Linked DNA regions of Tribolium castaneum. The protein of the gene in region 1 interacts with the protein of each later gene in a biochemical or structural test. Links are inferred from orthologs where the notes say so. Each region holds a gene or a part of one and is shown in the gene's direction. Other genes may lie near its edges.

The links.
Region 2: the proteins of runt-related transcription factor 3 (region 1) and Jra form a complex in vitro, tested with the Homo sapiens proteins (2 studies listed by BioGRID). The link is inferred for Tribolium castaneum from reciprocal best matches to the Homo sapiens genes RUNX1 and JUN.

Annotation. Positions count from the first base shown.
Region 1 is NC_087399.1:3,629,695-3,633,570, reverse strand, and holds part of runt-related transcription factor 3, read left to right. Parts: intron 1-757; 5' UTR 758-1,061; coding exon 1,062-1,431; intron 1,432-3,876.
Region 2 is NC_087399.1:145,854-149,251, reverse strand, and holds Jra (Jun-related antigen), read left to right. Parts: upstream 1-1,292; 5' UTR 1,293-1,436; intron 1,437-1,484; coding exon of another isoform or gene 1,485-1,557; intron 1,558-1,598; coding exon of another isoform or gene 1,599-1,717; 5' UTR 1,718-1,725; coding exon 1,726-2,409; 3' UTR 2,410-2,625; downstream 2,626-3,398. Other genes in the region: uncharacterized protein LOC663924, read right to left, coding at 1-7; phosphatidylinositol N-acetylglucosaminyltransferase subunit Y-like, read left to right, coding at 1,485-1,557, 1,599-1,717; ClC-b (H(+)/Cl(-) exchange transporter 7), read right to left, coding at 2,775-2,957, 3,006-3,089, 3,145-3,398. UniProt on the Homo sapiens protein: Transcription factor that recognizes and binds to the AP-1 consensus motif 5'-TGA[GC]TCA-3'.

The DNA of each region.
Region 1 (3,876 bases):
CAACTTTTGGTTATAAAAAAAAACAATTTTTGAAAAATCACTGCGAAGTCGTCTTTGAATATTTTAGAAAAAAAAAATAGAAAAATTTACAATACCTTGCAGTGTTAACAAATAGATGATTTTTAGTTAAAGCACGCTGCTAATATACAGAGTGTGCCAAAACTCAAAAAGTTGATTAACTCATTTTTTTCAACTAGAACACCATGTATTTTTTTATGTATTGATAGCATTTTTGATAAGCTTTCTAACGATATGAGGTTTGCATAGGAAATTTAAAATATTTTTCGAGGTTTTTTAAAAAATTATTTTATTACAAGAAAATTTGTTAATCTAGTATTTTTTCTTAAAAATGTACTAATGTGACTAAGTACATTAGTAATCTTAGTATTATTTGATGCATTAATATATTTTGCTCATCAAGAATTAATAATAAAATAAAAAAAAATTAAACATTTAAATAAATACTTCAAGTTTGGTTGTTCCAACTTTATTGTTCTATACATAATCTAGAACATTTTCAGACTGTCCAAAAAATATAATTTTTCCAAATTTGTTTTCAACAACTATTTCTTCAAATTTGGAAGCAAAAAATAGTCATTGTAGGCCACTTCGAAATTTACTCTAAATTTGAGTTAATTGTATCAGAAAAAGTCGTTTGAGTAATTTAGAGTTTGGGGTCAGCTTTATCATAAATCCCTGTAATGATCCCTTTCATTAGCACTTGTTTCTGGTTTTGAAAGGCCGTATTTGTTTCCAGATCGTTGTCAAGAATCGTCTCGTTCGCACCTCCGTTGTGAATCGGTTCCGTTTTTGCATCGAAAATAAAAACGGCGTCGTCGGCGTGATGACATCGCCCCGTAATGGGCCAAAGCGAGAGGTAGAGCGTAATTAGAAAAACATATCGCTGACTGGTCGTGGCAGGCGGGGAGAAAAGCGTCGCGGGAAAACCCCACGCGCACTTTTCCAGCTGCGGTCCACCGCCACAGCATCACAGCCGTGATTTTTCATCGCATTTCCGCGCGGTGCGCTGGCCGCGTCATGCCGCGAAGAAGTTGACCTCCATGCATCTCGCGACGGGAGAAGTCACCTCCACCACCGGTCACTACGACCGGAGCTATGGCAATCTGACGGCGGAGATGCTCGCCGAGAGGACCATCGACGGGCTGCTGGCGGAGCACCCGGGGGAGCTGGTGAGGACGGGCAGCCCGCACGTGGTCTGCACGGTGCTGCCGCCGCACTGGAGGTCCAACAAGACGCTGCCGGTGGCCTTCAAGGTGGTGGCCCTCGGCGACGTGGGCGACGGCACCGTCGTCACGGTCAGGGCGGGCAACGACGAGAACTATTGCGCCGAGCTGAGGAACTGCACGGCGGTCATGAAGAACCAAGTCGCCAAGTTCAATGATTTGAGGTTCGTCGGCAGGAGCGGAAGGGGTGAGTTTGAGGAGGGGGTTGTGGCTGGGTTTGGCACTTTTCGACAACAAAAACACGCGTGTTTATACAAAAATTGTTTTAAATCTTATTCTCTTCCACGAATTTTTGTAAATTCCAGGTATGTTAGAGCGGACAGCGATAGCTGTAATTAAAAAATACTGTCATCAAATCAGTTTGATTTTGCTAATAATAACTGTTTTTTTTTAATCTATATTTTTTATTATATTTATGTTATACTTCTTATTCAAGACGATAAAATTGAATTGGAACGAGAGGAAAGCAGCTAAATCAAATTATTTTAGCTAGTCAATAATTAACAAAATCGATATAAACTTCAATAAATTATAGAGTTGAACAATTATTGTGGAAGAACCAAAAGAGAGTTATGGAACGTTTCGTCTTATTACATTAGACATCATCAGGCTGAAAAACAAGTAATTATATAACACCACTTGCAGAAAAAAAATCCATTATTGCCAACGTTTTTATAAAAAATTAACGTAACGATTTTACGCATTTTTATTACAACAGCAGAAATTATATTTTACATACAGCCTGTTCCGTATAAATTCCACATTTAAAATATTGAAAGTTCTAATAAAGATATTTATTTGAAAGTTGGTACTCAGCCATAATCTGTTAAGTTCTGCTCAATGAATATATTTTCAAGATGGTAGCACTTTTGGTTATACCGGAAGTCGCCATCAATCTTCTTATTTCAAATGGAAAGCTACGTTTTTCAGTGCGTTTTTGCATTAGTTGAGTTATTTTAGACCGTTTTTATCAGTTTACTCGATTTCGAGATTTTTAAAATTTTTTGAAAATTTTTGGATTTGCACCTATCACTTAAAAAATCGGTAATTCTGTCAGTTTTAGAGATTTCAAAATCATATTTGAAAAATTAAAAGAGAAAGCCTACATCTGTTCTCCAGTTTGTTCAAAATTGAAAAAGAAGTTAACAGACCCAAAAATTTTGAAGTTAAGTTTGGACAACTTATAACTTATAACTTATTTTTTTTAAATGGCATGTTTCAATTTTTCTTTTACTAGATGAAAGAGAATTTTTTCTGCATCGACCTAATTAGGTATTTTTTAATTTTGCATTTTGCGCAATAAGTGAGGTTTTGACTAAAAAATTCACTGAGACTTTAAAAATGTTTTAACATAATATAATAGCGAGTTTAATTTTGTGCAAAAATGTTTGAAAAATGGCGTAAAATTGACTATACAAAAAAAAAGAACAAAAAATACACAAATTTTATGATTTTTGGGAGACTTATAATGAAAAAAAAATAGTATCGGAGTCAAAAGCAAACAGCAAGTCATAATAAGGGTAAAAATAGTGACATTTTGATATTGAAGTTTTTTGATTTACAATTTTTTAAAATATGATTTTTTTTAAATCAAATGTCTACTGACACACATGAAAAATGTCAAAAAAAATGTTTTCTGTACTTTAATTTAGTGGTTTTTTTATTGAGTTTGAAAATTTAAGTAATAAATTAAGAAAAATGCAGGAAATATGCCGACTTAGAAAGTAAAATATGACAGAAGCACAAATAAGAGATTCTAAACGTAAACAAGAAAACGCTTAAAATCGCTAAAAACTAGAAAATAATGCAGCAAAAGGTACATAAAAACATTAAATTGTAGACGTAGGACTGTAACTTGAAAAATGTAGAAATGCTGTTTAATTATCTTAAGAGAAAAGGATGTAAACGTAAGAGGTTAACGTAACTTTAAATGTAAACGTGAACATAACTTTTTCTTAAATTACAAAAAAAATCTGGAGCTAAAAAACATAAATATTTTTGTATTAAGAACAATAAATGAAGGAAGAAAAACTTTTATTTTTTAATGTAGCAATATAAAAGTTAAATATATTTAAGTATTCTTGGTATAGTAGACAAAGTGCAGTTTATTTTGTTTTTTTGAGGCAAATTAGAAATTTATTCGTACATAAACTACAAAGTTTTCTAATTATTTATTGTTTTGATGAAATCTAAAAAAGGTGGCAAAACGTTGGTAGTAGTAAATAAAAAACCAAAAAAAAATAGTTGTAGCTCATTTGAATAATTAACAACTTGTAATATTACAGTGGCTATTTTTATGGACTGGTTGATTTTCATACTTAAACTGATGCTAATATTATAAAAAATTCGACTTTTTGTGTTGTCTTGACTTATACTCTGGATTTATTATTATGCTTTAGTTTAGATTATAAATTTAAAACACTGAAGGATAACAAATTAAAATTTTATTAGCAAATTTTTTAATATTTGAAGATATAGATGCTGTTTGAATGTTTAATAATGATATAAAACTGAAGACCCGAGAATTAGTTTCAATATTTCAAAAAACTCATTGCTTATCGCATTTATATAACTTTCAAACTATTCAAAAAAAAGCATATTTGTAAAACCTTGATTTTTTTTAAGATTATTT
Region 2 (3,398 bases), about 3.5 Mb from region 1:
GGACCATTATTGGTTTGTGTTAAAAATTTCAAACGAAAAGAATTATTTAATTTAAATAAAATTAGATTATATGATCACGAAATGTTCGGTTTGAGTTCAATATGAAGACTGAATGCAGCTTCAAATAGGGCCTGCGCGAAACCTTGATTCTAACGGAAAGATTCATAAAGTGCGATCTGCGTTTAAGAAAAATATAACGGATTGTTTTTTCAATTTTTATTGATTGATAGTAAATGAACTGAAGTGAAGAAGGGTTACCATTTCCGTAATTACAAAAAAAAAAGTTGGCGTATACGTGTTACTGATTTGCTATGATGTGGCTCGATTAACTCCTACATAGTTTTTTTTTTCCGAAAAAAAAAATGTTTCGTTCGTGTTGCAAAGTCTGCAAAGTTGTGTCTACCCTTTAATTTATTATCCTAATTAGTATTACGAAACCGTTTGATACAATTGGATAATTCACCATATCCGTCCAAATTTGTTGCAATTGATGAAATAACACGTTGAATAACACCATCCATTTTTCCGCTTTGCGAAGGCGAGACAGGAAGTGGCAAATATTCCCTGTGGAATTATTATTTGCAAATCAATTTTATTTGGGTTTTTTAACCTATGAACCGTTGATGTATACCAAGGACGGACCAAGGAGCTCCTTGATGCATACACTCGGGGACGTATTTTGATCGAAAAAGTAATTTAAATGAATTATCCTATTAAGGTCAAGGGAACTGTGTTTACCCTAGGCAAACTAGCTCATACGCTACAAATAAAGCAGGTTAGGAATTTTTTCGTCATTTTGAAGAAATAGACAACTATTGTTGATCTCTTTATTACAATTTCTGTTATTTTAGTGCCAATGCTTCTTATCATACATTTTCTAAATAAAGGTTTTTTCCTCGCATGATAATTAAAAATAGTTATCTATTTGGTTATTACCATAATTTGTTTTTATTTTGTAGTACTTATCGCATTTAAAGTCGGACAGAATATAAAATATTTACACTTTTTTCTTTGTTTCCAAAGTTTTTTTGTAAATTAAATCACAATTTTTGAATGAAAATCGGCTAAAACTTTAGTCGTTAATATCACTGTCTTTTCATTTCTTAAATCGTATTTTTTGGATGGGGTAAGATGGGGTTCAAAGATCATGTTGGCAACCCGTAAAACACTGCGGTCAGTTTCCTGTAGAATTGTCTAGGTGTCGCTTTAGCGAATCATTTCGACATGACGTCATTCTCATTTCTGAAAATCCATGAAAGGGATGACTCATTCATATCGAAAGTTATTACGTCGTATTTGTTAGTATTCTGTAGTATTTCGAGAACAATACTACACAAGAAGTTAAAAGTTATATTCAAGAAATTTTCAAGCCAGTGTTGTGCTACATTGTGAGTCATTACAAATAAAAGCGCTTTGCTTTTGAATGTGGTGTTAAAGTAAGTGTTATAATATTAAAGATTCATTATTTACTTTTTTACCAAGTAATGCTTGAGGGACACCTCACAGACCTTCACTTTGTTTTCTTCTTCGAGAATCTTCATTTCTCGATATTCTTTTGTTTGCTATTGACGTAACTTAACCTAAAATTTCCATTTCAGATTTTATGGAAATTAGTGATTCCGTTTATTATTCACTGTTGGCTTTGGTCGTCGTGCCTGTTTACCTATTTTTCAATCTTTGGTCGTGGTTAGGTTGGGAATTGTACAAAAATAATTGATAAAAAAAATGAGCGGACCCAACTTTGAAAGTCAGCAAAAAAACCTCAGTAACATGAAGAAAAATCTCACTCTTGATCTTAATCAGTCGAAAATGAACATGAACCTATCGTTATCCCCCGACATCACGTCCGTCCTCAAAGTAGATACCCCTGACCTCCTCAAAGTGGACACACCCACCATTGAGAACATCATCTTGGCGAATAATATTTCACACACGCCTTCCCCTTCACTTATCTTCCCGCGGGACGTCACTGTGGAGCAAGAGAAGTTTGCAGGCGGTTTCGTCGAAGCGCTTAATTATCTTCACAATGGCAATTCTCAGCAAGGTTCTGACAGTAATGCCAGTACGGTTTACAGCGAACAGCAGAATTTCATGCCTGTGATCAAAGAGGAGCCCCAAACGGTGCCCAACGTGAATAATACGCCCCCAATGTCTCCTGTCGATATGGAATATCAGGAAAGAATGAAATTGGAGCGAAAGAGACAAAGGAATAGACTCGCAGCCTCTAAATGTCGTTCCCGCAAATTGGAACGAATCTCGAAATTGGAGGATAAAGTCAAACTGTTGAAAAGTGAGAATGTTGAATTGGCTTCAGTGGTCAACCAGTTGAAGGAACACGTGGGGATGCTCAAATTGGAAGTGATGGAACATGTGAATGCTGGCTGTCCCATCATTGCGGGACAGTTTTAAGGATAGAGTACGATTTATATTTTTTTATAAAAATTATACACCAGAGTGATTTTTTTATATTTTGGTGCTGAGATATTCATAGTTGTAGCTTTAATACTGTGACCATATTTTGTATGGAGCCATTTGAATTGTATTATTTACGGTAGATTTAGCGCGATTTGTTTTATTTTATGTAGTTTATCACATTTTTATTAATAAAAATTGTCTCAGTAACAAGTAGTGAATTCATTAAAAAAAATTGGTTAGAATAAAAACAATGGAAAATGGGTAAAGTCTTTAATTAACAATAAATAAAATTCTTTTGTCAAAAGCGACAACATAATTATTCGTGAAACTATATCATCATATCATAATACTGTAAGCGGTCATATTTCTTTGGAAATTAATAATTCTTCTACCCCCATGCGACCCCGATGTCTCCAGACTCTATAACGAGCTAAATCTTTCCTTGTTACCATTCCTATAACCTCATTTGTGTCATTAACAATCGGCAAATGTCGTAAACCGAGAGCTCGGAATAATCTAAACATTCGAGGTAGTGATGCCGACTGAAAAAAAAAAATGATTAAATGCTAATTACTTGTTTTTTTAATTACATGAAGCACCGTATATGGTGACGGATTCATAAACGGCCTCAGATCAATAGAATAAGTTTTTTCAACTTCGGAAACACTCACTTGCTAAAGAATTAAACTTAATTACTTAAAAAGGAAAGGGCGAGAGAAATACCACTACCTCTATTGTTGGATATCGGGGATACTCATCTCGAAAGATTCCCGCATTAATATCCTCCCAAAAGTCCGAATTTTCGTTAAAAATCTTCTTTTTCAAAATAACAATTAATTGTGACCTCAAAACTAACCCTCTTATTCTCCCATACGTGGTAACTTCCGATTGATCAGTTAGTGGCGGATCAACAACCGGAAATCCGTTATAAGTTGTTAATTTCAACAATTCAACAATATGCCCCACATTCTCAACACACTTCA